Linked DNA regions of Coturnix japonica. The protein of the gene in region 7 purifies or fractionates together with the protein of the main gene of each other region. This does not show direct contact. Links are inferred from orthologs where the notes say so. Each region holds a gene or a part of one and is shown on either strand. Other genes may lie near its edges.

Region 1 (3,883 bases), on a different chromosome or scaffold from region 7:
CATGAGCAAGTCCAGGGGGCCAGGGCTGGGAGGGGATGGAGTCACACCCCAGGGTGCCCCATGCGCTCTCCCCCCTTCCTCCTCCTCCTCCTCCTCACAGCTGTTCATTCAGTTGTTGTCTGACTCGTCCTCTGCTTCCCGGAGCCAGGTGAAAAATGCTGTCACTGATTTCAGGGCCACCCCTTTGCCCTGCTGCTCGGCTGGGTCCTTGCTGGACTCCCACTTGTAGAAAGCCTCCTCCTTGATGACGTCCTCATCATAGAGAGCATCGAAGAACATCCGAAGCAGGTCTGTGTGGAACAGAAGGGAAAACAGACACCCTCTGTTAGCAAGGACACACCTGCCACCCCCAAAACTCCCTACATCATCCATCCCTGTGCGTGACACTCACTTGGAGGCTGGTCCAACTTCACCACCAAAGCCTGCAAGGCGTAGAGTGCCTGAAGCTCCTTCTGCTCATCCCGCATGTACTTCTGCAGCAGCTTGGCCCGGTTGCGGATCACCAGGGCATCCACACGGTACGGGTTCTCAACTGCAGGAGAGTAGGTGTGAGAGGGGGCTGCAAGGGCTTACCAGGCCCCCACCTCCCCCCAGTACTCACAGATGATGGCTGAATGGCACACAGATGTCATCAGGGCCCTGATAAATGTGTTGGACGAGACCTGCTGCTCACTTAGGTTGGCCTGAAGGAAGGAGGGAAGGGTTATGAGATGTGAATTGAGCAAGGAGGATGCCTTGCAGGCGTTCTGCCCTCACCCTCACCTCAATCCAGTCATATATTCTTTGGTTGTTCGAGTTCTCCTTCAGCAGTTTGTCCATTTGCTTGCACAGCTCCTCCGAGGTCAGCTCCTTGCAGCTTGGCGTGTCCGAGTTGTCTCCCATCGTGTACTCCAATTTCTGGGGGACACAAGAGAGATAATCTGTTAAATGCTATGTAGGGGAAAGCTGCTCCCAGCAGCAGGGTCTGGGAGCCACAGTCCAGCTCTCACCTGTTCTGTGACGAATTTGTTGACATCCTGGTCCTCAGGCAGGAATTCCTTCCAGCTCAGGCCCCCATCTCGCCACAGCTTGCCCGCAGTCTTCTGGCTCTGCAAGAAAACCTCAAGTCAGCCCTCAGTGCCACTGCTCCCCATCCTGCAGCCAGCTGCCCCAGTTACAGCAAGAGGCATTGCCCACCATCATCCTCTCTGTATGCAAAAGGGTTCAACCCCTTCCATGAGCCAGCCCCTGGCAACTATGCGAGCAGCATGCACTTACCATGCCCTTGCACAATAAGCCCAGCACCTCGACCAGCAGTGTGGTGGCCTTCCCAAGGGGCACCAGGGGCTTTGTTATCTCCCTGTGGGGCACAAGCAACATAGTTGTCACCACTTGCCCCTACCAGGACCCCACAGCAGCCCTGAAAAGGAGTACAGCCCCTACCTGAACAGCTCCTCCATTGGGATGCCTTCCTCTTGCAGGATAGGTGTTATGAGCTCGGCGAGATACAGCCAGATGTGCGGGATATCAATCTCCATGTCTTCCGCAATCTCCAGGATCTCCCGCAGCCTGGAGGGCAGAAAGGGGGTATTGGGATCAAGTAATTCCTGCGCCCTCAGCTGGGAGGAGCTTTGGGAGAGTTGAATTCAAAAGCAGGTCAAATGATGCTTTGGGGACAAGCTGCCTCAGCCCCTCACCCTTTATAGTACTGCTCCTTGGAGAGCGTGCCAGCCTTCACCAGGTGGCACAGCAGGATCCCCATGTGCTCGCGGGAGATCGTGCTCCGCTCAAGCGTGGACTCAATGCCATTCCGCACGAAGACGTAGAGCAAGGAGGGGCTGCCCAGCTCCTGCACACACTGCAGGGCCTCCTGTGGGGACAGAAGGGTCAGTGCTGCCCCATAGCCAGCCCCTGCTCCTCATCCTGGCACTGCCAGCAACCTGTCCAGCAGCAGTGCTGCCTGGAGAAGCAGATGACATCCTGCGGGTGCCTGGCCACCTCCTCTTCTCACCTTCATATCATTGATGTGCAGATATTCCTCTATGATCGCCTTAGATTTCTTCTCCAGCTCCTCCTCTGACAGCATGGGTTTGGGCGATGCCGCAGGAGGTGCTGGCTCTTGTTTAACTGAGAAGAGCAGAAGGATCAGGCGCCGCTTGGGACCAGCAGAGCCTCAGCCCACAGCCAGACTCCAAGGACACCTCTCCTCCCCAACTCACTTGTCTCTCGGCTCCTGTCCCGTTCCTCTGACATACTAGCAGTTTTGCGCACAGCCTCAGGGCCACTCTGCTTTTCCCGTTCTCTACTCCTGTCCTCTGTCTCTTTGCTGAAGCTCCTCTTGGTGACAGCAGACCTGTTCCTCTCTCCCCGCTCACCCCGATCGGGACGCTCCAGACGGTCGCTGCTCTTCTCTGAACGTGACTCCCGGTCCCCTCTGTCTCCAGCCTTTTCTGACCTGTCGCGGCTGGAACTGCTCCTGGGTGGAAGGAGGAAGAACAGTGTGAAAAAGTCCATTGCTACACTCCTCTGACCCCAAATTCTGCACAGTTACGCAAGGCAACGCTGTCCTACTTCAATTCTCAGCCCTCTCCAGTTCCTCCTCTACTACTCTTCCCTCATGGGAACACTCCCTGGTCCAAAGCCCCACTGCCATCCTTTGCTCTGACCTTCAGCAACGCTGAGGGCAGTCGGCCTCCATTCTCCCCACACCACCCCTTGCTGCAGTAGGCTTATTCCTTCTCCTGACTGAACAAATTCAAGTGTCTGGGATCTTGCACTTCAGCTCCAGCTACCCCCAGTGGTCTTTGTAAGAAACCCCCGGGCCCATCCCTGGATGTCTATTCCTGGTAGCCCCAGACTGCACACAGCACCCAGATGTTGTCCTCCAAAGTGCCAAGCTACAGCAGAAAGATCTGCCTTCCCATTTCTGGTGGTAATGGGGCTTGTGCAGCTCAGAACAGGGACTGCCTTTCCCACAAGAATGCAATGATGCCATACCAAGCCCATGCCCACAGACCCATCCTGCCACAGAGAATGACTCCAGCCTGGACATCAGATTCCATTTACCCACACACCAACCGACCACTGCCCAATCTAGGGAATGTTCCCCAGCCCACCAGGTGCAGCACACTCACCTCTGCACCACGCGACGGGACTCTGAACTCTCGGCAGGGGTGGACTGTTGGAGTGCTGAGAAGCGATTCAAGGTGCTTGTGGCCGGTCGCCCTGAATCAGATGCTGGGCGTGAAAAGAGGGGAGCCTCAGAGTTCGGCATATCCCCAGTACAGGAACCACTGGGAGAAAGGGTTCCCATTCCCATTCAGTGGCACCAACAAGCCGGCCCCATGCCACCTACCTGAATCTGCAGGCTTTGCACCAGACCCTCCACTACTGCCTTTGCCCCAGCTCAGACGCCCGCCTGGCGCAAAGAGCTGGTTGTTGGAGTCGATCAATCCAGGCTGAAGGCAGAGAACAGAGTCAGCTCCGAGCCCTGCACCAAGACTGTGGGGCAAGGCAGCCCAATGTTCTCCCCAGCCTCACCTTGGTGATTTTCGTTAGCCGGCTAGTGTCGATAGGCCGGTTGCCCTTGCTGATGGGCACAGTGTTCCAGCCATCATCTGCAACCAGGCTGCTGCGTCCACCTGGTCACAAGGGGACAGAAGTCAGGCACAGCCCTACCTCAAGCAGTGATAGGGTAACCAGTATCTGGTGGTCCTAAGTCACTCACCACTGATGGATGGTCCAGGAGGTCCTCTCCTTTTGTCTTTTGACATGAGCTGCTGCACTTTGATGTGTTCCCGATGCTCCTCCATCTCTGCCTCTTTGTGGATCTGGTCGATGGTTTTGGGGCCCTGATCTCCTCGCCGTGGCACCCAGCTATTCTGCAGAGGGCAGAGGAGCAGGG
Region 2 (4,682 bases), on a different chromosome or scaffold from region 7:
GCAATGTTCACTGCTACAGAGCTCCTGCCTGCGTGCTGGCTGCAGACTGATCTCTCCTGCCACAGGACCCTCAGATACCGAGTATCATCAGCCTTCTACGATTCCTTTATCCAGCACTACAAATAAAAGGCAGAACAAGCAAACATTTTGTGTTCCTGCTCACAATGAACCCCTCTATTCCTACTGTTGTCACCCATCTGTCATTTTAAAACACGTGGCGGCAATTGTTTACAATGTAACATGCCCGTGCACGCATGTTTACCCAATACTTCAGTGCATGAAGGAATTATGCTAAATATCATTATGTAAAAGGCGTCTTTTTGTTTTCCTTTCTTCAAGGGCAGCCCTTGTGCCTTCAGAAGCCCACTGAGAAAGCCTGGAAAGTGAAAATAAAACCAGTGTGAAGAATCCAAAGAGTCAAACACACACTCAGCAGCTCTGAAAACGCTGGAAATCCCCCGTGATCTGCAAGGCACAATCACCTCCCTGCAGCTGGAAGCTGAACACACAGACAGCATCAGCTCCTATTCAACACCTCGCCATGCTCAGCCCAGTGACTATAAGCAAAAACCTTCTTTTCTTTTCAAGTCTGCACTTTGCATCTACCCCCAGAGCTGCCCAGTAACTCGGCATCCCCCAAAATAATACCCAGCATAACTGGTGGTTTGTTTGGTACAGCAAATGGAGGCAAACAGTCATAGAAAAGAAAGATCCCGAGTGCTGAGTATAAAACCGATGGGTAAAAGCACGGTTTGAGCAGAGGTTAAATGGGGGAGGAGTGAAGGAGGCAAGATGAGGGGAAGAGATAACGATCAAACACTGGCTGCCAGTGTGAAGTAAATAGACATTTTCCAGCTAAAGCCGGGCAGGAACACACGTGCCATGAACCGGCTGAATAGCAACTGTTGCTACCACAGGATACTGAGCTGTGAGAGGGCCTGGCAATACCTCACCTCTAACGCAAAACACAGCGTGTAAGCAGGGAGAAAATCAGAATCAGAGCTGGGAGCCTGAGCTATTGTGTGAAAAATAACCATCCACAGCGGTTATTTTAGGCAGCAAACGTAAGTTCCAAGAGTCGTTGGGTAGATGTCAGTATCTCAAATTTAACACGGCCTGGGAGTGCTGCTTTCACTGCGCAGGACACTGAAACGCATCAGCAAATTCAGAGAAGGACCAGAGATTGTCTGCTCCTTCATTCACAAACACCTGCAATAACACACACTGGGCGTGATGCTCCTGAGCACGGAGCTGACTTGCCTCAACCCCCAGCATGGAGGCACCAAAGGACAGAAAACCCCAATGAATTCCTGTGTTGTTTTTATCCCCCCCGCTGCTGCTTTCATTTTAATGTTAGCATAGATTTCCCTGAGTGTCCTCCCAAACTTTCACTCCTTTTGCAGTTTTTTATTCAGCAATAAAAAAACATTCATACACAAAAAAATACCTGAGGCAGGAGTTACCAACAGAGCCAAGGAGCCATGGACACATCTTTGTTTACCAACAGCGCAGTCACTGTGGCAATTGTTCCCATTTCTACCTCTTTTTGGCACCACTGGATGTTGTAACTCCATAATAAACTGCCTGATCCAACAGGAGCCAGTGATACCTCGAGTGGGAAACACGGGTGATGCTTTCGCAAGTGACAGCGATATAAATGCAGCCTTTACTTTTCATGTGGATGAACGGGGCACTCAGCAATGCACAAGAAGGCCCAGGATGTCATGTCACTGTAACCATAGGGACACGCAGCGGGGCCAAACATCAAGAGAATGTGAAGGCCAGAGCCCTGAGCTCAACCACGGCCTCACACTGCCATCAGCACACAGAGCCTCCCCCAGGGCCGGGAGTGATGGGCGAGACTGATACCGAGCACCAGGATCTGCATATCTGCTGCAGAAAACCCCATTAATTCAGTCCCGGAGCAGCACACACAGGGATGGAGGAACCCACCCACAAGTTCAGCACGGCACGCTGATCCCACGACTGCTTCCACACAGCGCTACGAGAGCGATATGTGCCCCGGATAGGGAAAGAAACAACAAGAAGTGATTTAAAACGACGTTTGGTACAAAGCGGAGCCGAGGAGCCGCTTTCTCCGCGGGCCCGGCCCTGACTCATGTTTTCCATGGCCGAGATGAGCCGCGGGGCCTCAGCGCCGCCTGGTCGCGCAGCGCCCGCAGGGACCCGGCCCGGCCCGGCGCGTTCATGGAGCCCCGCGCTGCCCCTCAGCGCCTCCACCCCCAGCGGAGCCCAACGGCCGCACCCGAGCGCGCAGCGCGGCCTCTCCCTTCCCTTCCCTTCCTTTCCCTTCCCTTCCTCTCCCTTCCCTTCCCTTCCGTTCCGTTCCCTTCCCCTTCCTCCCGGCCCTCCCTCGCCGTGCGGGCGGTGCAGGCCAAGGCCCCAACGCGGGCCCCTCGGCGGCGGATTAGGAAAGACGCCACACGGCGGCCCCCTCTCCCTCCCTCCCTCCTTCTCTCCCTCCGTCCCTCCCGCCGCCATGGCCGGGCGGCCCCTCCCGCCGGGCGGTACCTCCAGGTCACGGCCTTTGTTCTTGAAGTTCTTCAGCCGCTGGTTGTCCAGTTTCTCGTTGTCGGCCATGGCGGGGGGGAAGGTGGGAGGGAGCGCGGCTGCTCCTCCGCCTCCTCCTCCTCCTCCTTTCTCTCCTCCCGGACCCGTGGCCCTGTAGCTCCGACCCACCGCGGGCCGCTCTCGGCAGCGGCCGAAGGGGCCGTAGGAGCCGTGCGGGCCGTGGGCGCTGCCGGGGCCGTGCGGGCTGTGCGCGCTGTGCGGGCTGCGGGCGGCGCTGCCGCTGCCGGGCGCCGAACGAGCCGGAGCCGGGGACGGGCAGAGCGGGGGGAGGGGAGACACACAGCCTCGCTCTGGGCCGCACGGCACAGCGCGACCATTGGACGAGCAGCCCGCGGCAGGCGGCCAATGGGAGCGAGGAGGGAGAGGGCGGGAGCTGAGCGGCGCCGTGACGTGTGAGGTGACGGGGAGGGGGGGGAGGGGACGGAGCCCTTCCAGGAGCTTCGGAGCCGCCATCTTGAGCGGAGCCACGGGGCGGGGGGGGCTGGTATCGCTGTTTAATCGCAATGAAACCACCCAGAGCTTGTAGTAATACACTGTGTGTTAGCTCCTTGTGGCCTGCCAGGATAATAATAATTAATATTAATGACAAAAATATTAGCTCTGTGCTGCACAAAGTGTTGGCAGTTGGAGAAAGTCTTCCCTGAATTTGTATTGTAGCAGCAAAGAAACACAACTTGAACTAATAATGAAAGTTAGAAAGTTACTGCTCAGGGTAGTGCCTGGTATATTCAGTCTCCATAAATATATCAGCATATCTCATCTTACCAATATGTAAACCATCTTTTGTTGTTTTACCAATATATAAACCATCTTTTGTTGTTTTACCAATATATAAACCATCTTTTGTTGTTTTACCAATATATAAACNTTTTGTTGTTTTACCAATATATAAACCATCTTTTGTTGTTTTACCAATATATAAACCATCTTTTGTTGTTTTACCAATATATAAACCATCTTTTGAAGCTACAGCTGTAACTCCTGCGCGTTGCAGTCTGGTATACAAGGAAGATATTTTCTTTACGTGTCTATATGGGATATTGATAACCACAGCCTGATCCTCTGATCAATGAGCTGAGCCAAGTGTCGGGTCAGCTGTGGGAGCACAGGTGAGAGACATGTAGCTGTGCTCCTGGAAGGGATGGAGCTTGAAGAGAATCCAGGAAGGAACACCTAAAAACAAAAGTTTAACAGCTTAAGTATTATTTTAAGTGAAAACTAGAGGTGAAGCACTGTGAATTTTGACTGATTAATCTGTGCAGTTAACATTTTACTCCTGCTGAGGAAGTTACGTGCAGACAGAAGGAAATAAAGGCTTTTCAAAAGTGAAACTGCTTTGGAGCTTGGCAAAATAGTTAAAGTACAGATATTGAAGAGTTGCTGTAACAGAATGACATGAAATCATTGGTCTCAGAGGCTGTTTGGTGCCTTACAGAACTATCGTGAACGTGCTGGTTAGTTGTAATGTCCTTCCATGGAGGAACAGCTGCTGAGTCCCAGGGAAGGACTTTTGCAGAGTGGTTTCTATAAAGTTGCATCCTCAAAGTGTTTTCTCTGTGAACCAGGACATTAATGCACAATTGAGGCTCCGTCTCTGTAGAATGTGGTCACTAATAATGAAACTGGGCTCTGTTCCCCTGGTTTCTGATCATGCCTTAAGATGACAAGCAGTCAGGCTATGAAGGTGAGGAACACACAGCGTCTAAGGGCTGACCCAGAAGTTTATGAAAGGGAAGAAAAGTTTTATCCCCTAGTTACCATTTCCTTGTCTTTACTAACCTAAACAGGCCGACTTACCACCTCTGCCACCTCCCACTGTCCCCACACTGAGCACTGACTGATTACACAGCATGTAGTTTGGGAAGGATGGAATTGGAAAGCCAGAGCATTCTCTAGTGACCAAAACTGACTCAATGCCCCAACAAGTAACAATGACCTTTCCATTAAATCATCTCTCTTAGCACTACCTCTCGGTTCTTGGAAAAAGACTGACCGAAAGGAGGAACTGAACAACAGCCGTGTCATCTCATGAGTAACCACTTGAAAACAGCTGAGAATCACTCGGCATTCCTTGGAGAACCTTCCTTCAA
Region 3 (3,883 bases), on a different chromosome or scaffold from region 7:
AATAAATGACCATTTAGAATAACTCTAACATGTTACTAATCCACATACAAAAGTTCTCAATTGATAGGCTTTACAAAGATGAGCAATCACTGAAAAGACAAACTATACATTCACACACTTCTCATTTTGGAGATATCCTGAATATCTACTTCAGGCACGAAAAAGTCATAACTACATAATAGCTAGCCCTTCTCTTCAACAGGGCTAGGGCGTTGCATGTATTGGTATTCAGTGATTTTCTAACAACATGTTATTACTGTCTGTGTAGCTTCCTTTATTTTTCAGAACAGACTTACCCCTCTCACATTCTGATGCTTCTGATCGGGGAACAGGAGACTTCAAGGACCCAGCTACTGGAATCTTTTCTCCTCCTTTAGTATTTTCCTTGGATTTCATATCCTTTGCTACATCTTTTTCTCTGGATGGCTCCTTTTCTCTCTCCTTTTCTGCAACTGACTTTGACTCAATGGTTGTAACAATTGTCTTGGATTTTTCTTCCTTTGAAGCTTTTTCTTCTTTCTTGGCCTTCTCCTTCTCTTTGTCAGATTTCGGTGTTTTCTCCTTAATCTCTCTTGGCTTATCATCTTTGTTTGCCCGTTCTTCCTTTGGTTTATCTTTCCCATCCTTCCCAAGTGCCTTCGTCTCTGGAGTGGTAGCTGGAATCTTTTCTTTCTTTTCTTTCTCTTTTTCCTTCCCACTTTTTTCTTTATCATCTTTCTCTTTAATAATTTTGCTGCATCAAAAACAAAAAGGCCAATTAGCAGACAAAAAACTAGCTTGCGTTATAGGCAAGTCTTACTCCCGATTTGATAGAACTTCTTCAATCATTCACTGCCAGATTATTTTGCTGTCACTTCAACAGAACATCAACAAGAGTACTATCTTGTTTTTCATTACTTAACTAAAACAGAATGTATTTTATACATGCATCAGCTTAGAACAGCTATATATTTTGGCAAAAATCTGATGTAATGGGAAAAAGTTAAACAGCACATGAAAGGACTGAAAAGGTAGGTCAATTTCAAAGAAGACAATAGAGCATATCAAGGAAGGAGTAGATTTCTCACCTATTAGAAGCACTGTTTCCATTGCTTGTTGTCACCTTTGGTGTAGTGTTGACAGTTTTATTAATGACTTTCACAGTACCCTGAGACTTCTCCTTTAGTTTATCTGTTTAAAGAAAGAAAACAACTTAATTACAATAACATACGTCTCAATAATAAAAACAAGTATCCCAACACAAATTCATGCAAAACTACATTTAACTAGTAGTTAAAGAGGTAAACACAGACTACACTCCTGCAAAAATCAACCACCAACAACACAAAGAACATATAATGCACAGACATTAAGCTCACAGAGATTTTTTTCTTTTCAATTTAACAAGTTTTGAGACAGTAGCTTGTAAATATCATTCAACTAAGAATCAAGTTTGTTTACCAGTCTCTTCAGCAGAGCTTTCCTCCAGTTTCGCTGTATTTATTGTGAGAGATGTAGGCATCCCAGCACCACCTGGCCCATTTTGTACTGTTGCAGCTACAGCATTCCTGGCAGGTGGGTCTTTGTGGTGGAATTCATTTTCAGGTATCATAAAAGGCTTCCTACTTTTCAACTGCCCAGAATAGCTGCAAGTCGCACAGATTGTTAAATATGCACAAACAAAGCAAAATATGGGTTGAATTTTAAATGAGGACTTAATCTAACAGTTCCGTCTGTTACTTTTCACAGTTTTTCCCAACTGATATGCAGTTTCTTCCCCCTTTATCATTCAACTCAAAGTAAAAAAAGGAAAAAAAATTAAAAGAACAAACAAAAATAAAACCTCACACAACAGAAGCAGCCCTACCTCAAAGCCCTCTTTGCTGTTACCACCATCACACACACACACTCCTGCCAAACACACAAAAAAATAGCCCACTATTAGCACAACCTTAACTACCACTCAAATATCCATAGATGATTCTGCACTTAGGCATATGAAAAACTTAATCAAGCATTTTAGAACTCTATTATCTTCCAAATTATGCAATCTTGCAACAATAGCCCTTGGCTTTCTCCACTTTACTCCCCCTTGTATCTATCTGCTGTTATACTATCTCTCTATAACGCAGCTATGCTCTTGTGAGTGAAAATCTTTACTATTAAATGCATTTTACTAGAGTCTTGAAAATGAAATTAGTATTCATCCAGCACGACATGAAAGTTTTCATTCACAATGCCAGCCCTGAGATGCGGGATAGTGAAATCTTCTGTGATAAGGTAAAAATCAAATATGTTAGGACTGTAAGAGTTCCAAGTCTTTAGAAGCCTTTCATGATCCACTTTTAACCACTTTCTTAAAGTAAGGTGTTGTTACCCCATAGCCAATGCATATAGATCAGGTCTCTTCTCTTTCTCTTCCTGACATATCTTATGTACTCTTCTTTCCAAGGCTTGGCCCAGGTTCAACACTTTTGGATACCATGGAAGGATTTTGGTCAGCACAATCAGGATATTTCTGATATGTGTATATTCACCAGTTTCAAGGCAGTGTACAGAAGCCTAGAACACAAATTAAAACTCATCAATCCTTTTCATTAAAGATTCAAAAAAAGAATTGCATTTTTCAGCATCTTTAATTACCTTAGTTAACTTATAGTGCCATTTGTGTACCACGTGTCTAAAATTCTCATAATCCAATTGATCAGCTTTATTTCCACCATCAAATCCAGTTGCTCGTAATATAGTTAGGAAACCTGGATAGTTGCCACATTCCTATGTGTGCACAAGATAAATAAAAATTTACTATTTAAAATACAAATATTTTCCAGGATACATTAAAAAAAAACCAAGAATGTTGTAATAGTTAATATAATCAAAGCACTTCCTGGCATACAGACTAAGACAGATTCTGTAAGACTTATATCCTCTTTTTTCTTTTTTAAAGCTTATTTATGTTGAAGCCTTTCTTGTGGGTGAGGAAAAGGATTATTTGCAATTTAACTAGTTTTTGCAAGGAGTCTCCATATGCTACCTAAATCTTCAAGAAAAACTATGAGAAAATCAAAATTCATTTCTTTTCCTTTTGGCGCTATGCAAAATTAACTCTGTTAAAAACACACTGATTACAAAATCCCCATCCTAACATAAGGCCATTGGAAAAAAAAATAAAAATCAAACGACAACATTTTAAATCAAGTTAATGATTTCAGTGAATCCGGTTTTACTGGGGTGTATTATACAAGAAGTCATTATATAACTCTTCATGAACAAACAAGTTTTAATAGCTTCACATACCTTCTCATATATGACTCTGTCACTGTGCCATCTAGTCACGGTCTCCAGCATACAGCATAAAAACCTGCCATATCTACTAGCTTCATTTTCAGTACAACTTGCTACTGTATATATAATATCAGAGAAAACCTGTGAATGGCAGCAGTAAAAAGTTACTTTAACTTCAATGAATTACAAACAAGGATTATCAACAATTTCAAATTGTTCTCACCTAAACTACCGTTGCTATGGTTTTTAAATTCAGAGAAGATTACAGAAATATTTAGAAACCAAATTAGATTTACACAGAGAAACAGGAAAAAAAAGGAGGTCTTGTCTGCTAAAGCTTCTTAGCGAATATCCTGTTTGTTTTCAGGACTTTGTTATCCAATTACTAGATCTGAGCCAAGACTCCAGCTGCTGCATACATCTGCCTCTGACACAGCCTTCCATAGGCGAGGTGCATCTCCATTGGAATATAACTGTTTGGGCTCTAAATTGATAAATTGATTTGAGTAGGCAGAAATAAACACACAGAACACAAACTGTATCTCTGAGTAAAACCACTCTTTTGGACCAATGAAATCAGAGCAGATCCCTACTTCAAAAGTCTCAAAGGTAACCTGAC
Region 4 (3,883 bases), on a different chromosome or scaffold from region 7:
GCAGATTATAACATACCTTGTTTATCTTCTCTTTTGGATGTGTCAGGAGGTTTGGGAAGTAAGACAAAACATCACAGTTGAGAACAACTTGTGTCTGTTCATCGGTACCAGTTACTATGTTGCCTACTGCTCTCAGCGCTGCTGTCTGAACATGCGAAGTGGGAAGAGAAAAAAAACTGTGCGTTAAAAACGTTGCTGTTACTTATGTTAAAATAAAGATAATTTAAAGCTTCTCTACAAAAACACTGCAGAAGAGTGTTTAGCACTACAGCTTCTGAGCTACACTCTAAAGCAGGCACTGTTTCATCCAAACAGAAACACAGAGTCCAGTATTTTACTATAAAGCACGCTGCAGATCAAATCCTGAAGTTTAAAGATTAGAAACTAAAAAGAGATTAGGATAACAAAAGAAATAACTCATCATGTATCTGATCTGAATTACAACCAACATATCTAGGCCTTGACTATGGCTGTTGTGTGCCTTTTAATTCAGGTCTCTATTGCAGAATAAAGAAAAAAAGACTACTTATATTCTTATTTACTCTCAGTTGACTTTCAAACATGTGCATTATACCCTTAGGAATTAATAAACGTTTTGTGGGTGATTGAAAACTGGAGAGACTCCTTTCCATCAACTGAACTGGTCTGACAAAATTTGAGCCAGGCAACCCTCATCCAAAGTCCAAACTAAACAAATATGGCAAACGCACAGATACACGCAGAAGCTTCCACAGTCCAACGGTTCATTTATAAAAACCAAGCACTCATTAACTAACTTAAAGCTTCCCTTTGTGTTAAAAATCAATGAACCTGCCTTATGTGGAAAACTGGGAATTCACTAAAAATACTCAAAGATATTAACATTCTAAAAGGCTGTAGTACAATGGTCATTTCAGAACCCCAGTAGTAAATACTCCAAGGTGTAATTTATAAGCAAACAGGTTACAAAGGACTATGCAAGGAAACTGAGGCAGACTTACTTGAACTTTGACCTCCTGATGACTCAGAAGGGGAACTAGAAAAGGTACAACTCCTGAATCAATCACCATCTGTATCTGCTCGTTGCCACCGTCTGTTAAGTAGGACAAAGCCCAAACGGTGTCCACAAGTATCTGAAAGTTGGAAAGAACGTAACATCATTTAAACACTAAATAGCAAAATTCATAACACTGAATCTTAATTTAGCAATAATTTTCCACATGTCTGGGTAAAAAAAAAAAAACCTTACAATTTAGTTACAGGAAAAACTCAAATATTTCAATGCAACCTTATGCATTAAATGTTGGATTATTACATACAACTATGAAAATTGGGGCCATTTGTTCAGTGATAATAAGTTCTACATCCTCTTCCTTTTAATTGACGCATTTTGGTGCACAGTTACAGCACACATCACCTGACAAAGGTAAATTGTTGGCTTTGATTTGCACTTTGGAGGCAGATGAGTGGCTCAGTGAAGTAACTGAGCTAGTAACTTTCTGAAGACAACAGTGACTCAACTTCTTGGCCCTGCCCTCATCTGTTAGATGTACTATCTTCTGAATACATAAGTTAAATGTCCTTAGACTTTAAAGTCATCTAGCTACACTTTAGTGCCTTTGATCCACTGTGCAGTATGGAGTTAAACTACAAACTATCCTTCATATTGAGATTTAAATCTACAGCAAAGGAAAGAACTTTCTTATACCAGCTAAATGACTAACACTTATTTTAAGGTGGCAACTGTTCAAGAGAAGGGAATAAACACAAGGAAATGACTATCACACAGGACACACTTAAAGAAAATAACAGTGAAGTCACTGGTGATTTGGTATGGATGATTTGAGAGCCCTCCGAAAGAAAAAAAAAGGAAAGGTACAAAAGTTAGTTATTTTAAAGGTAGGGTTTGAAGCAGAACCAAAACTAGCAGAAAAAGAGGTAATGTCCTGTCACTTGGAGATGATGTTAAGAACTGCAGGAAGAGAAGCCTGGATGCTCCTGAGGGCATTTCTAAGTCAATTTCTCATGCTAACTAAAGCAAAGCAATTACTCTCCGGAATTTTAAGACTAAAGCCTGAACTCATTGCACCTAAGTGAAGTGTCTAAATTAAGAGCACAGTAAGCCTACTCTGCCAGTTAATATTCTGTGTGCTAAGACATCTGTTCTATTCTGTGAACCGAACGACCTTTTGGATAGGGCTCTCATCTGATTCACTAGAAAGAGGTTAGAGCAATAGGCTCTAAATCCAAGCATCTTACTTATGTTCTCAGGTTAGATGGTCTGAAGCAGTGTTTGAAGGCTTCGTAGGCAGAGTTTGTGCCCAGAGTGTCTCATGGTGAGCAAAAAAGTGGCCCAGCTCACTGAGATTTAAGGAAGCATCAGATGAGAATGGCTCAATGTGGCATACCCAGAGATCTGTGAGCCAGCTTCATCTCTCTGACAGCTTAACTGAAAGAAACCTCACCTGCTATTTAGGTAAAGGCATCTGCACTCTACTTTTCAAACAGAGCCATTCAAAATTTCCAGCTATTAAGACAGCTAATTAGTACTAAAGGTGTGAGAAGGGCCTGCCCCATAAGCCTATGGTGGGTGGCTTCCACCCACCTCCAGAGAGCAGACTGCATGTACTTACTGCTCTCCTGATGCAGCCTGCTGCTGCTCACACCTGCTGATGCCACAGGGACAGCAGAACGTGCTGCAGTGGAGGCAGCATCACAGCAGAAGCAGTGAGAGATGGTGCCTCACCAGTTTCCTGCCCCACAGCCCTGGTGATGATGAGAGCAGCAGCTTACAGGACTGCCTGCTGACCCACCTGCATCACTAACTCATCACCAAAGAGAGGTTTGCTGCTCCAGTACTGAGAGGCTGGGACCATACTGGTATTTCCAGCCAGCACCTGACTCTCAGGACTCATTGAGACCAGTCAAAACCTGGCACCACGTAATTCCACATATCATTTAAGAAACCCTCACAAAATCATTTCTTGCAAAAAGCTTTCAAATTTGCCAGGAAAAAAAAAACAACAAACCCAAACCAAAACAACAGCAACAAAAAACAACCGAAGCCTGTAGGCTAGAAGTATTTTTGGTTTGTCCAAATTATGGACTGTAAAGTCATCATGTGCTGTCTCCCACTCACATTACACTGGGATAACCCTGGCAAAATCCCAAATTAAACTGCAAATATTTGTGGAATGACTACACCAGTAAAAGAGCAGCAGAAACACCACTACTTTATCAAAGAAATAACCTAAGGCATTTCCACCAATCTCATGCCCTGTCCACAGACCTACCAAGGTGTTCAATTTCTGCTTCCTTAAATTGTGGTGCTGCTACAGGGAGCAACAATTCAAGACATTACAAAGTGCTGATAGGAAGCAGAGCAGAAAAGCATCTCAGTTATCCCTCAGGTGTACAGATCTTGTTTCCCAAAGTTACAATATAAGACCTCAGGAGGTCAGACCACTCTCTAGGACTTTGAAACTGTATGCAAAAACCATGGCGCAGGAGCATGGATATTTAAATACTTTTAATAGTTAAATATTAATATATGTAAATACATTTTCCTATGTGATTTTCTCAGTCAAACAGCTTGCAAATTCAGGCATCCAACAGGTTACAGAAGTTAGATTTATCCGTAAGATCACAGTATTTGACTGGACTGATACACAGAATTATACATTACATATCAGAGTGAATAGCCTGAGTTGGAAGAGACCCACAAAGGATCATAGAGACCAGATCCTGGCCAAAAAAAGGACTAAGCAAAATTTAAGCCTTATTATCTACACAAAATAACAAATTGGGGCAAAATTAAATTAAGGCCAACAGTAAATCTCAAAATCCCAAACTTCCAGGGCACAACTCTGTAAAACAGGATTTTTGAAAAGTGCAGTTTCTAGTG
Region 5 (4,673 bases), on a different chromosome or scaffold from region 7:
CTCCATCCCCCAGTGCCTGTGGCACTACCCAAACTCCCACCCATTCCAGAGGGCACACAGCTCTGGGTGGGCACTGCTGCTCAGGGCACCCCTGTGTGCCCCAGATCCTGGTGGGCTCCCCCCAACCCCAAAGGCTTCCCTCCCCTTAAGGACAGACAACATCTTTCCATTCCACGTGCATTTATTGTCACTATAGTCACCGTGCCACCTCAGGCCCCCCCACACTCTGTGGAGCCCAAGGACACGGTTACAGCCACACTGCACTGCAGAGCACCGGGGACTCCCGATAGCAGCCGACAGCTCCGTAGCTTGGGGTCCACATCCATCACACACGGCACCTGTGGGGAAAGTATCACAGAGATTCCTGGGTGGGAACTTTGGAGCAGGGCTGCCCGCGGAGCCGGGCAGGTGGGTGTTCCTGGTATCAGGGCATTGCTGGGATCTGGGCGTTGCTGGGATCAGGGCATTGCTGGGATCAGGGCATTGCTGGGATCAGGGCATTGCTGGGATCTGGGCATTGCTGGGATCAGGGCATTGCTGGAATCAGGGCATTGCTGGAATCAGGGCATTCCTGGTACCAGCCCGTTCCTGGAGCGGAGCATCCCGGTACTCACCGCGGTGCGGAGCGGAGCAGCGGCACCTCTGCTGTCGGAGCGGCGGCTGTAGGGCAGGCGGCGGAGACCGGAGAGCAGCCCCGAGGCTCTGCCCACCGGGTAGGAGAGCGGAGCGGCCGCCTGCCGGTACCAGGGCGCGGCGGGGCGGCACAGCAGCATCACGGCTACAGCCAGAGTCAGGCAGCGGGCGGCTCGCATCGTGCCGGCGGGGGCGCAGCGCTGCGGAACGGCCGCTCCGGGTCTTTATGGCCGCGGCCGCCCCCGCCGCGCAGCACGAGGGAAAGCGCCGCTCCCCGCCCACGGAACCGGGACCGGAGCGGCGGGAGGAGGCGGGGAGGATCATTCCTTGAACTTCCACTCCTGGCGGCACATGGGGCAGTGCTGCTGGACCTGCTGCGAGTGCAGCCACTTGAGGATGCAGTGCATGTGGAAACAGTGCGAGCACTGCCCCCACACCAGCGGGCAGTCGTCCCCGGGCACTTTGCCTGCGGCGTGGACACAAAGTCAGGAAGGGCCGGGTCGCACCGGACCGGGTACCATACCGGGTACAGTACCGGGTACGGGACCGGGTACCGGACCGGGTACGGGACCGGGTACCATACCGAGTACCATACCGGGTACCGGACCGGGTACCATACCGGGTACCATACCGAGTACCATACCCGGTACCGGACCGGGTACCGTGCCGGGCCCCGCCGCACTCACAGTCGGGGCAGCAGCCGTTGAAGGCCATGCGGCAGATCCCGCAGTTCTCGTCGTTCGCCACCCACAGCCACGAGGCGACTCCGCTCCAGCTCCGCACCTTCACCCTCATCGCCGCCGGAAGTGCCGCTCTCCGGTCCGCGCCGCCCCGCCGGAAGTACCGCCCGCCGCCCCCACGAGGCCCCGCCAATCTGAACGCGCGCCTCCGCCCGCCGGTCCCGCCTCTTCCGCTTCCGGCGTCGGCGCAGCGCGGCCGGAAGCGCAGGCCCCGGAGCGGAGCCGCCATCATGGCCGACAAGATGGACATGTCCCTGGACGATATCATTAAGCTCAACCGAAGCCAACGCGGCGGCGGTCGGGGCGGCGGCCGGGGAGGCCGGGGCCGAGGCGGCGTCACCCGCGGGGGCGGGCCCGGTCGGGGCGGCGTGGGAGCCGGGCGAGCGGGCGGCGGCCCCGTGAGGAACAGGCCGGTGATGGCCCGGGGCGGCGGCAGGAATCGGCCCGCGCCGTACAGCCGGGTACGGGACGGGGGCGGGGGCGGAGCCCGGTCGGCGGGGCCCGGAGGGAGGGGGCCGGTGTGCGGGGCGGGGGGCGGCGGTTCGTGGACGGGGCGGGGGCGGTGGGACGGGCGGCCCTTTGTCCGTTGCCGGCGGTCGAGCCGTCCCGGCGGGACCCGGCGGCGCTCAGCGAAACGTCCGTGTCGTTCCAGCCGAAGCAGCTCCCCGAGAAGTGGCAGCACGATCTGTTCGACAGCGGCTTCGGGGCCGGCGCCGGGGTGGAGACCGGCGGGAAGCTGCTCGTCTCCAACTTGGACTTCGGCGTCTCAGATGCGGATATCCAGGTACGGGCTCGGCGCTGTTCCCGGGGGGTTTCATTCATTCCATCGGTGCTGGGTGCTGGGGGTGGCCATAGAGCATTGCTGGCCCTGCTCCCATTGGAAGGGCCCTTCACACGGTGCCTGGCCCTTTGCTTCACGCACTGCTGGGGCTCTGAGCTGAGCAGTTGGAGTGGCTGGATTCAGAAGAGTCCCAGTCTTTATGGAGCTGTAGGTAATCACATATGAAATATCTCTACCACGATGCTGTGGGGGGGATGTTGCCTTCGCTCAGTCCTGCTGTGATTGCAGAGCTTAGCACAGGCTGTGTGAGCTTTTAAGGTCTGTGTAATTCCAGACGTTCAGTAGCTCTATATATACATCTATTGGCGCTGTTTTCATAGTACCTGTTTATGTACTTTTTGTTAAAGTTTTGTTCAGTCTCAAGGTGTTCTTATAGAAGCACCAGTGATATTGAGAAGTCTGGTCTGTGAGGGGGTACCTGCTCGCTCATGTTGTCATTTCCACAATTACCACATGTATCTTATGACAGATAAATGTTCTAGCTGAGTTACCAGCTGCAGCTCAATCCCTTGTTCCAGCTGTGCCCTGGGTGCAGGCTGTTTGCAGTCACTGTGCCTGTGACACAGCAGTCACAGCTGTGGGGCTGCTCTTACTTGTGGGCAACAAGTTGTGCAGAAACATCTGCAGATCCAAGGAGCATCCAATCTGAAGGGTTTTCCTGACTTAGTCACATTGCAAAGAGCTTTGGATGGTTTCTGGTCCTTGCATCTCCTCTAGAAAAAAATAACTAAATCACTTCTATGTTTTCTTCTGTTAATTCATTCCGGTTCAACCTGTCTGCATCAGGAGTATTGGAAGTGAGCTTTTTTAGGTCACCTAGTTATTGAGCGATGCACTTAAAACCACTGTTTTTTCCTCAAGTGAGTTTAGTTTCAGTTGATATACATTTCCTGTTTGCTGTAATCAGGCCCAAACGTGTAAAAGTGAATCTGTAAAGTTATCTCAATGTAAGGAATTAATGTGTTTTGTGTGGCAGTTGAATGTTTCCTTTTCACAGTTGGCTTGAACTGCAGGAGCAGACAAACATCTGTGTATATTATATGTAGCAGCAAAGCTGACTTAATGGGTTTGTACCTCTTTGTTACTGCCCATCCCGTAATTTTCCACTAAGCTGCACTGATTGTTTTCTTTGTTTCTGTGCTGATTGTGTCATTAATATGGTTCTGCTCAGCTCAGTGCTGAGGAATGAGGGGCTTGGTGGGAGCCTCGTTCACGTTGCTCTTGTAGGAGTATGTGTGGTGCTGTGGCTCCAGCTTCTCTGCAGGACAGGGATGTGATGGAGCACCTCTCCTCCCATGTGGTGCTGTCTTCCAGAAAGCTTGTTGGGTGCTGTATGTTCATGTTTAGTAAATGGACACAGTAGAGAAACTCACTGACAGGCTTGCATAAAGTGCAGCTGGCTTAAGAAGTGAAAATATTTATATGCTCCTTTCAAATGCTTGGATAGGAATTATAGAGATGGCTGGAATAGTGTTTGGGCTCTGCTGCAGGTGATATGGAAGGCAGCCTGTGGTGTCTGCTTTGGACACCTGACAATTCTGTGTGCTTCAAACATTTGAAGAGTGGGGTGTAGGTATAAACTTGCAAAGTAGTGAGATGTCCCCAGATGTACATCTTAGATGTAGCCTCTGTGAAACAAAATGGGTGGCTCCACTGTTGCAGCCTTCCATCGCTCGTGATGGTAAACGATGCTCTTCAGTAGAAGATTTCCTGCTTTCAGTTTATACAGACTGGCAATGTCCCTGGGAAGAGGAGCAGGTCAGCATACCTTGGGGCCACTTTGTTGGCTGTATACAAGCACCCTTCAAGTGGTGGATATGAAATCCTGTTTGTTTCTGCCACCTGTGGCTGCTTTCTGGAAGTCTTTAGTGGCCTGTGTTCCTTCTTTCACTGGTGCTATTTGCGTGGTGTCATGGAATGTACATGATATTGCTGAAAGCAGGAGCTGCCTGCACCTTCTCTGGGCTGCTCGGTGTTTGCAGAGCTGACTGAAGCATATTCACTTCTCCCTCTGTTTCTCAGGAACTCTTTGCGGAATTTGGGACCTTGAAGAAGGCAGCAGTGCACTACGACAGATCCGGACGCAGTCTAGGAACAGCAGATGTGCATTTTGAAAGGAAAGCAGATGCTCTGAAAGCTATGAAGCAGTACAATGGAGTCCCCTTGGATGGTGAGTCTCTGTGGCTGTCGTGTGCTTCTCTGCACGGCTGATGGCATCTGTGTGCCTGCCACACTCACAGGGTAACTGGCTGCTTTTCCTGCAGGGCGCCCCATGAACATTCAGCTGGTTACATCACAGATAGATACACAGAGGAGACCAGCACAGAGGTGAGAAGCCGCGGGAGTCGCTGTGCCAGTCAGCACGGGGAGTGAACTGGCCTGTGTAGGAAGCATGGAATCCTCCTCGTGTCCTGCAACCTTCTGAGTGCCTGTTGGGGTTAACCAGAATGCACTATAAC
Region 6 (4,488 bases), on a different chromosome or scaffold from region 7:
CAGCACACACAGGACACCCAGCTCAGGTAAGTTTTTCTCATGCTTTAGAAAAACAGGCACTTCTGGATTTGCATAGCTAACTATTTGTTGCTTGTAGAGACTCCTCTAAAGCTGTGTAACATTCGCAGCGCCTTATAATATGCTGTGCTTGTTTGATCTGCCTTTCAAAACAAGGGAAGGCGCGTTACTGAGAGCATCCAGCCTCACAGCAGCACAGACTGAGCTGTTTCACAACGGTTCCCCATGCTCAGGGCAGCCACCAAATGGACTCACAGCAAGAGCATGGGAGAATGTGCTTCCTCCTCCTTACCAGAGCTGAGTCCTGGCCTGAGGGAGCAGGGAAACGCCGTGGAAACGATCAGAATTTATCTTAATCCAAATCAAATATGCTAATTAGCTTGTCTTAATCATCAGAAAACTGTATTTCCATTGCTTATAGAAAACAGCAGGCGCTGCTCCTGCACTGCTTAACCTCTGCCTGCCTTTTGTCACTCAGGCACTAATCTGTGCTAACAGCATCCTCTTAAGCTATTAGTTAAGAATATGCTGAGGAACAAAGCTTTCAACGTTCAATGAACCCCATTTTCTGAAGAAATGAAGGGATCTGCACTGCTCAACTCATCTTATTTCAGTCCACAGGGTACAAAAAAGGCATCAGAAAATGGAACGGGAGTTAATATCCCTTCAATGTTTATCAGGATAAGATTTACTCACAATCACAGTAAAAACTTAAGCTAGGCAAAAACGTATGCAACCTGTGAGGCTTAAATTTAGCCGTGTTCCTTCCAAAAGGCATTAACGAGCTCACATCATCTATTCAAGGTAGTAAAACCTCCCTGAGAATCCTTCAAATGGTCTATTTCTGATCTCAGTGCTGATGAGAACATTGAAAAGCAAAGGTCCAAACAGAGCAGGGGCTGTTGGGTTACAATGAGCTCCAACATCACACTCACTGTGCTCCTGAGTCCTTGTTGGAACAGCTTCCCCCATCCCAAATTCAGAGAGTATGGGGATAACTGCAAAACTCTGCCCTGAACTAAAAGCACTCAGCCATTCCCAGCCATTACCAACATCCTCTGCTTCCTGCCTGCCAGGACGGATGCTTACAGACACGCTCATACCTGGATGTGCTCCCCACATCTTCCTTTTTCCCCTTCTTACTTCAAAGGCTTTTCAAACATGTTTAGACAAAAAGAGAAGCAATCCTCTGGCCTCATCTTTTACACTCATAGACTCATTTTGGGGTGGTTTTTCTTCCTCTTCTGTCTAGGCACCTCTATACTGAGAGTTCTGGAATGATCAGAGCTTTAAAAACTAGGATTTCAATCCTAATATCTTTTTAATCAATTAACACATAACACTGACTACAAACAAACCGCTTAACAACTGCAATTCAAACGGGAAAAAGGGCTGTTTTGCCCCAACAGAGCTACAAGTCAACACACAACAAAGCAAACAGCCCACGGGAGCTCAGCTCTAATTCCACACCATGAACACTGCCCTAAAGGGAGTTCCAACACAGCACCATATCTGGGCCCACCTGCACTGCACACCTGAAGGCTGCCAGCCATTCACTGCTCTAAGTTTGCTCATTTCTGTGTCATTTACAGATCAGCCTTGGAAAAATGAAGTTAAAGAACTGAATCCCCCCCCAAGTGTTTTTGAAGCAGGATGAAGAGCTTTGATCTACAGCACTTCAACTCCTCTAAAGGCACATCCTGGAACGCAATTTACAAACAATTGTTAACGCTGAGATCACTTAATATAACAATATATCCTAAGATATACAAAAGCAGTCCAGCTCTAAACAGAGCACAAAACAGCCTCTCAGGTGTTTTTGGGCTTCTTTTTTCTTGCTTTAGTCAATCAAGCAGCGTTTCCTTTTACAACACTTCTTGGTTTCTGGCTGCACGGCCCCAGTTCCCTCTTTCCTTCCGCATCTGGGAACTTTTTAAACCAGAAACGCGGCCCTCATCAGGCAGCGTTAAGAATACTCCTATTTCTCAGCCTCGACCAGCTCCGCACACCAACCAACACCAATGGGGCGCTATGGGCTGTCACTGCCCTACAACCCCAACAAACAAAGCCGCCTGGCAACCGGTGGCAAAAAGGCAAGAAGGATCTCTTGGGAAGGAACGCTCCGTTTTCACAACATTCAACACCTCGTAACTCAAACAAGAAAACAAACCCAAATCCTCCCTCCTGGGCAGCGCTCCTCGCTCCATATCGCGACTATCGGGATATGCACGGCGATATCGCGACTATCACGACACTATCACGACATTTAACCGTAGGCCCCGCCGCCTCCTTCCGCCTCCCGCCCAGTGTTTCCCCGCTCGGCCCCACACCCGCCCGCCCCTTCCGCGCTCCCCCCGGTGGCGGCACCGCCTCACCCCACCCCGCTCCCCCCCCTCACCCCGCGGCTCGGCCTCACCTGGGCCTCGATGGGGCCTGCAGGGCCCTGCCCCGCTCCCGGAGCTCCTTGGGCCTGGCCGGGCCCCGCCTGCCCGGCTCCGGGCGGGGTTTGAGTTTGGCTGGGGAGGGTGAAGTCGGTGAATTCGAACTCGGATCCTTGAGTGTCGGCACCGAGCAGCTCGGCCTCCTCCGTATCCAGGAAGGTGAGGGTCTGCGAGCTGGGGCCGTACGCTTCCACGCTCATGGCGGCGGTAGAGAAGAGAAGCGGCGCTTCGGGCCGGGCCGCGCCTCACGGAGCCCGGGCGCCGCGCTACGACAGCGGCGGGATCAGCCGCGAGCACTAGGCCGCACCCCGGAAAACCGGCCTTTAAAGAATCCCCCGACGCCCCGTTCGGGCGGCTCCGAGTCGACGGGAGGAAGGAGCCGAAGGAGGGAACCGAGAGTCCCCGGAGGAGCTGAGAGAGGAACCGTCCGGCCGCACCGCGCGCCAGGCCAGGCCAGGAGCGGTGACGCGGAGCGCGCAGCGGACGCCAGCACGCCCCGTGCGCGTGGGCGGGTGACGCAGCACGCACACACCTGGGAGGGCACGGCGTGAGGGGGCGGGGCTACGCGCGGAAGGCGCGAAGAGGGGAGCGAACCACCTGAAGTGTGGGGGGGGATTGAGGGGAGGACGCGGTGCGGGCGCTGTCAGTTCGAGCCTAAAGGAGGGGTTGCACCCCCCCCCACTACAAAATGGGCTCTACCGAGAGGGGGCGGGGCCTGATTGATGATTGACTGCTGATTCAGCCAATGAGCCCTCGAGCTGAGGAGAAGGGCGGGCTGCGGTGGCAGCCTTAAGATCTACCTCAGATCTGCTGTGGCAGCGAGGTGTTGTGTCTGTGGTGGGGAGGTATACTGTAATGTTCTGAAGCAGGTGATTAAGAAGGCTCTGGTGTTATAGAAACACCTGCTCCAGCTGTAATATCCATCGTATCTAAGCTGCCCTGCGTGGCTGTGGTACTTGGGGGCTGAATGGGAGCAGGGCGGCCTGTGAGGCTCCCTGTGTTGTGTGGGTATGAGCAGTATATGGTCAGGCCGTAAATAAAGTGCTCATTTGGGCTTTATATGCCCTCAATGTACTTCAATTAGCATCAATTCAATTAGCATCACACTCATGTCTTTTAAGGTAACACCCAGGTGTTGTGAGAAGTGCTGATAGGAGAAGCTATTTTCTCTATTGAAAATAGAGAAAAACAATAAAAAAATAGAGAAAACAATATTGAAAATATTGCAAATATATTGAAAATAGAGAAAATATTGTTGTGTTTTCTCTATTGAAACCTTCAGCCATAACATGCACGTGAACGTTGGTTTTTTAAGTGACTTTAATTCTGTTCTTGCTTTTGTTGCAGGGTAAAGCTTGGAATGGAAACAACATCTGCCACATTTAAAGCTTTGAAGCTGAAAAGATTGAAATGAGGATTGGGAAAGATTTCAATGCTCTGAGTACAGGAGGGGGAAACAAAGATGGAGAGAATACAGGACTCACTGCATCTACTTCCATATGGTTTGTGTTCACGTTGAGCTTGAAGCTATGAAGGAACAGACTTAGCAGTAGGTAATCATAGATGTATCTTAATTCATTAAAGTAGGTTAATTAAGCAAAAAAAAAAAACAAGAAAAAATAAATTTGGTTGTAAATTTACAACTGTCAAATCAGCTACAATTTAATGTGGTGGCATCAAGGTAAGTAAGTGTACACCCATATATAATTTCATACAGTACATTGAGACTTTTGATTCCTGAAGTTGAATCACAGCTACATTAAACCCACTTGTAGTGTGACTATAAAGCATCCACAGGTGAACTGAATTGATATTTCCTTAAAACCAGAAATGATCTGGTTTGTAATTCAGAGAGAAGCATATCTGAATAAACAGGAAGTCTTATTTGAAAATGGGATCTGCTTTGAAGATTGTATTTATAAGACCAGGCAGGTTGTTTTGTATGGACATTTTTAATGAATAAACAGACCATTCTTGCAACATTTATCCAGTTTACAGAATCATCAGGTTTGGAAATCAATCAAAGCTT
Region 7 (3,883 bases):
TACTGCAGCACAGTCAACGATTTGTGTCCGAATCATCTTGTCCACAAGCACAGCGATCATCTGTATTTTGTGAAAGACAAAACTGTCATTTCTACCAAGATAAGAAAAGCCAGCCCAGGTACCCCAGCCTTGCATAAAACCAGAAACAGTTTGATGAACTCAACAGCAGTATTACTGGGTGATTTTAAAGTCTTCAGAAAACCAGTGCTGTCTAAAAATGACATCTGGTTTGTCTAGCCTAAAGCTACTTAAAGGATCAGTATCAACTACCTAAAGCAAGCATTCTTATTTTGATTAACAGTTTCTTCTATTCCTTGTGAAAGTAACAGATCGTTCTTCATTAGCATAACTACCTTTTGAAAACAAAAAACACAAGCATCACGGCTGGAAGTGAAGCAGCACAGACACAGCTCCAAATATAGAACATCAAGGTACTCAAACCAGAGCATACACAACTGTCACATCACCAAAGAGAAAGAGCAGCTGTTGGCCTACACTCTCCTTGAGACGCAGTAGTTTTCAAATATGGCAGTAACCTCTTTCCTGCAGGTACTATTGCATTTTAGGACAGAGCCAATATTGAAGTGCTTGTTGCAGGTAGTGCTATGATTCCAGGGGCTTTGCAAGTAATCCAGAAGGAAACTGCAGAGAAGAGCTGCAGACTAAAGCAGTTACAAGCTGTTCAGAAAAAAAGGCTTATCTTGGTTACTCATGTGCTTGAATGTCACAACGTCTAAGAACCACAGCCTGCAATGCATTTATCCTCACAACGACCCTCTGACACATAAGGAAGTGTAACAAAGCTCCTTTTAAGGAAGGGAAGTTAAAATAACCAAATGAATCATACAGAAGACTCAGGACTCAACTTTCACATCCCAGGATAGCATCTTATACTCTGTGTGTCTTCCTGCAATGCCAAGAAGAATCTCTGATTACTTCCCCTGATCTTCCAAGGAACAAGCTTAGGATTTTGGGGAAAACATCTCATCTTGGTGTCAAAACTTCTCCTTATGAAGTCACCACCACAACCACACTAAACTAGACCAGTGACTACCAAAATGACCATTTGCAACATGGCCCTCAATACACTGACAGCTTAAAGGACACCAGAAGATGTTCCCATTTACAGCAGAGTAGGGTGAACAGGAGTAGTTTCCTTCAAGGAAACTGGCTCTACTAGTGCCAGTGTGCCAGAGATGTTGTGGACACAGACAAGACAGCACCTGAGCAGCAGCAAAAGACTCAACTACAGTACATACAGGAAAGGAAATTTAGGTTCCATGGTCAAGGCCTTCAAAACATCAGCACTTGGTATTCTTTTAAACACAGTTTCAGTTTATTCATAGAAATCTGACCTAACTGTTCATTATGACTTTAAAGCCTCCACCACAGCTTGGTCATACTGCAGTACAAAGGAACAAAGAGGAAAAGAATATGGACATTAGACTGCGGTAATGTAATTTCTTCTGATCCAATTAAAGTAAAAGGAGGTCAAGATTGTAATCATCACATTTTCAAGGTCAGTATTTTGGGCAAGAAATCTAATATATTTAAAAAAACACTAGTTTTTGATATATATACATATAACACACACACTTAAAAAGTGGACTTGAAGGATATCTATACAAGGTGCCACTTGTCTTTTAGGCACTAAATTTCCTTTAGGAAACATGGAAAACAGACCATAGATTTAGCAGCAGATGCAAGGATTATCCCCTGTTCACAGTGGAACTGTTTCTTAATGTCTGTACAATGCAGCCGTGAGGTATGCTCCCCTTTCTAATACAGTACCATGTAACTCAAGTGCATCAGTAAGGAACACAGAGTTAACACAGGCAAATTCAGTGTGAGCTCCTCATTTTTATTTCTATGTTTAGAAGAATGACAGCTGGGGGAGAAAACAACTGCTGTGAAGAAACATAACTGTTTAAATAGCTGAGGTGTTTTCCATAGGCTTTCCAGGGTGCTCTGATTCAAGAATGAATGCAATCATGCCTCTGCAGTCTGACTGCTCCATTCTGAACAGTTACTGACTGCAGCTCTGCTCATTCTGCCCATATGCAACAGCAACTTCAGGTTGATCTCTGTGGAGTAACTGCTTAGCTTTTGCTAGCAAGTGGAAAAAGCCTAAAGGCCAACCAGGTTTCCCCGTTTCCAAGAATCTGGCCTGCTTTTGTTACAAGATCAACATCCTATTTCAATTCTAAGCATCAACACCATTTTCCAGTTTTGAACAGAAACAAGTTCTCTTGTATGACAAAGAGCACAGCATGAACCCGAGTTAGAATGACACAGCCTTTGCTCTCCCACAAAAGTAACACTGAGAAATAGAATATATACTATATGGCAGTTTATCTCCAACCTTCACTTTAAACACTTCTAGCAATGGCAAACAGAACTTGAACTTTCCTTGATATAAGGCAAAGAAAGTTTTAAAGTACATAAAAAGCAAACTGTAATGCTTTATTTAACGTGACCTCAGAGTTTAAACTCAACTAATGATTGACACTGTAACGCCTCACCTGTGGATGGTTCTTCCAGACCTCATACACAACTCTCAGAACATGGAGTTTTCCCTCATCACTTTCAGCAAGTGTTTTGAAGACTTCATGAAACCTTTTAACAGACGTATATCAGTCAGTGGAGGAGCAGGGCTCAGGTCAAAAGGCTATCTGACATGAGTTAAGTGGCTGAGATTGTCCAAAAAAGAAAGTTTTGGGACTTTATACAGCAATTCCTGAACAACTCCTAACAGGAAAATATAACCATTGGAACATTTGAACTAACAAAGATATACTCCTAAAAGTAGCTTAAATTTCAGTGGTGAATCTTCTCCTGGAAGGAGGATTGTATTTGTCCTATTCCTAGAAGTACAAGGCACACAGAAATGCTTCCTGTGCTTACCTATGCTCAGCTGGGGCAAAATGTACTCACCTCGGCCTGCCTCTTATACTACTGACTGCAGGTTAGCACCTGCAGTTTATTTTAAGCATGCCTGTAAAATGCTTCCATGTACAGGTTTTTGTATCAATCACATACTTTTACTGAGGAACAGAAAAGTAATTCATTGAAGTGCATCTGACTACTGCCTTCCTGGGTCATAAACACTTAATATCTCCAAAGCACAAAGTATTAAACTCAGTATGACATATACCTTTCTGTTAACTCCATATCTTTCATTTAACATTAACAATATTTCTGTTCCTTCAGTAAAAGTGCCACTAGCTCTCAGAGTCCTACTGCATTGAGAAGTACCTAAAACATTGCTGAAGCTTGCAGGTAATTGTTTTTTTTAAATTTTTTTTTCATCACTTCATTATTAGAACCAAACAGCTCTGTCAACCCTCAAATAGTGCACATGTTACACTTACTTTGCCAGGGCGCTGAAGGAGTGGCTGAAAGACTTTGCAGCTAGATGGAGCAGAGTCTGAACAAAGACTTCTATTTTCAAAGGATTGAAAGTAAATCCTTCATCTGCAAATTATTTAAAGTTGATACTGTAAGTATTACATATAAAGCAGTAGAGATAACCAATGGTTTTAACTCATTTCATGGCAAAGATTTGGCAATAAGGCCATGCAAGGCAGAGAAGGGAGCTGGCAAACAATTTTACATTTATTTTCCTAAGCACTATCCATGTTGTGAATAATCACACTCCCATTTTGCCATGGCACTGTGTGCTTCTATCTTGGGAGAATCTTCTATGGAAGATTAGCCAGCATTCAAGACATCTTATCTGCACACACAGCATATAAAGTGTATACAGTAACTACAGCCTTGCAAAACCTAACAGAAGACACCTTACCATCATCATCATCCTGGTTTGGATTAGGCACATCTTTTAAAATGCTGAAGATTTCATCATTACTGGCCTTGTTTTTAA

Evidence for each region.
Region 1: the proteins of NCBP1 (region 7) and EIF4G1 purify together in Homo sapiens (affinity purification with western blotting; 3 studies listed by BioGRID and IntAct, with this or other methods). This does not show direct contact. The link is inferred for Coturnix japonica from reciprocal best matches to the Homo sapiens genes NCBP1 and EIF4G1.
Region 2: the proteins of NCBP1 (region 7) and KPNA4 purify together in Homo sapiens (co-immunoprecipitation; 3 studies listed by BioGRID and IntAct, with this or other methods). This does not show direct contact. The link is inferred for Coturnix japonica from reciprocal best matches to the Homo sapiens genes NCBP1 and KPNA4.
Region 3: the proteins of NCBP1 (region 7) and THOC2 purify together in Homo sapiens (affinity purification with western blotting; 3 studies listed by BioGRID and IntAct, with this or other methods). This does not show direct contact. The link is inferred for Coturnix japonica from reciprocal best matches to the Homo sapiens genes NCBP1 and THOC2.
Region 4: the proteins of NCBP1 (region 7) and KPNA3 purify together in Homo sapiens (co-immunoprecipitation; 3 studies listed by BioGRID and IntAct, with this or other methods). This does not show direct contact. The link is inferred for Coturnix japonica from reciprocal best matches to the Homo sapiens genes NCBP1 and KPNA3.
Region 5: the proteins of NCBP1 (region 7) and ALYREF purify together in Homo sapiens (affinity purification with western blotting; 6 studies listed by BioGRID and IntAct, with this or other methods). This does not show direct contact. The link is inferred for Coturnix japonica from reciprocal best matches to the Homo sapiens genes NCBP1 and ALYREF.
Region 6: the proteins of NCBP1 (region 7) and UPF1 purify together in Homo sapiens (co-immunoprecipitation; 3 studies listed by BioGRID and IntAct, with this or other methods). This does not show direct contact. The link is inferred for Coturnix japonica from reciprocal best matches to the Homo sapiens genes NCBP1 and UPF1.

Annotation. Positions count from the first base shown.
Region 1 is NC_029524.1:13,925,010-13,928,892, reverse strand, and holds part of EIF4G1 (eukaryotic translation initiation factor 4 gamma 1), read right to left. Parts: intron 3,861-3,883; coding exon 3,707-3,860; intron 3,621-3,706; coding exon 3,520-3,620; intron 3,438-3,519; coding exon 3,335-3,437; intron 3,217-3,334; coding exon 3,114-3,216; intron 2,456-3,113; coding exon 2,199-2,455; intron 2,107-2,198; coding exon 1,991-2,106; intron 1,850-1,990; coding exon 1,677-1,849; intron 1,549-1,676; coding exon 1,423-1,548; intron 1,340-1,422; coding exon 1,258-1,339; intron 1,089-1,257; coding exon 990-1,088; intron 898-989; coding exon 763-897; intron 684-762; coding exon 602-683; intron 533-601; coding exon 392-532; intron 291-391; coding exon 109-290; 3' UTR 1-108.
Region 2 is NC_029524.1:19,641,497-19,646,178, reverse strand, and holds the start of KPNA4 (importin subunit alpha-3), read right to left. Parts: upstream 2,838-4,682; 5' UTR 2,602-2,837; coding exon 2,533-2,601; intron 1-2,532. UniProt on the Homo sapiens protein: Functions in nuclear protein import as an adapter protein for nuclear receptor KPNB1. Binds specifically and directly to substrates containing either a simple or bipartite NLS motif.
Region 3 is NC_029519.1:14,685,468-14,689,350, reverse strand, and holds part of THOC2 (THO complex subunit 2), read right to left. Parts: intron 3,406-3,883; coding exon 3,277-3,405; intron 2,755-3,276; coding exon 2,623-2,754; intron 2,542-2,622; coding exon 2,357-2,541; intron 1,626-2,356; coding exon 1,441-1,625; intron 1,171-1,440; coding exon 1,068-1,170; intron 734-1,067; coding exon 297-733; intron 1-296. UniProt on the Homo sapiens protein: Component of the THO subcomplex of the TREX complex which is thought to couple mRNA transcription, processing and nuclear export, and which specifically associates with spliced mRNA and not with unspliced pre-mRNA.
Region 4 is NC_029516.1:151,466,209-151,470,091, forward strand, and holds part of KPNA3 (importin subunit alpha-4), read right to left. Parts: intron 1,113-3,883; coding exon 981-1,112; intron 146-980; coding exon 17-145; intron 1-16. UniProt on the Homo sapiens protein: Functions in nuclear protein import as an adapter protein for nuclear receptor KPNB1. Binds specifically and directly to substrates containing either a simple or bipartite NLS motif.
Region 5 is NC_029533.1:4,445,296-4,449,968, forward strand, and holds the start of ALYREF (THO complex subunit 4), read left to right. Parts: upstream 1-1,513; 5' UTR 1,514-1,603; coding exon 1,604-1,834; intron 1,835-2,025; coding exon 2,026-2,157; intron 2,158-4,236; coding exon 4,237-4,384; intron 4,385-4,478; coding exon 4,479-4,542; intron 4,543-4,673. Other genes in the region: NPB (neuropeptide B), read right to left, coding at 210-338, 615-812; ANAPC11 (anaphase-promoting complex subunit 11), read right to left, coding at 954-1,099, 1,320-1,428. UniProt on the Homo sapiens protein: Functions as an mRNA export adapter; component of the transcription/export (TREX) complex which is thought to couple mRNA transcription, processing and nuclear export, and specifically associates with spliced mRNA and not with unspliced pre-mRNA.
Region 6 is NC_029543.1:2,812,470-2,816,957, forward strand, and holds the start of UPF1 (regulator of nonsense transcripts 1), read right to left. Parts: upstream 2,925-4,488; 5' UTR 2,660-2,924; coding exon 2,435-2,659; intron 1,821-2,434; exon of another isoform or gene 1,611-1,820; intron 27-1,610; exon of another isoform or gene 1-26. UniProt on the Homo sapiens protein: RNA-dependent helicase required for nonsense-mediated decay (NMD) of aberrant mRNAs containing premature stop codons and modulates the expression level of normal mRNAs.
Region 7 is NC_029547.1:62,558,866-62,562,748, forward strand, and holds part of NCBP1 (nuclear cap-binding protein subunit 1), read right to left. Parts: coding exon 3,806-3,883; intron 3,475-3,805; coding exon 3,372-3,474; intron 2,617-3,371; coding exon 2,523-2,616; intron 61-2,522; coding exon 1-60. UniProt on the Homo sapiens protein: Component of the cap-binding complex (CBC), which binds cotranscriptionally to the 5'-cap of pre-mRNAs and is involved in various processes such as pre-mRNA splicing, translation regulation, nonsense-mediated mRNA decay, RNA-mediated gene silencing (RNAi) by microRNAs (miRNAs) and mRNA export.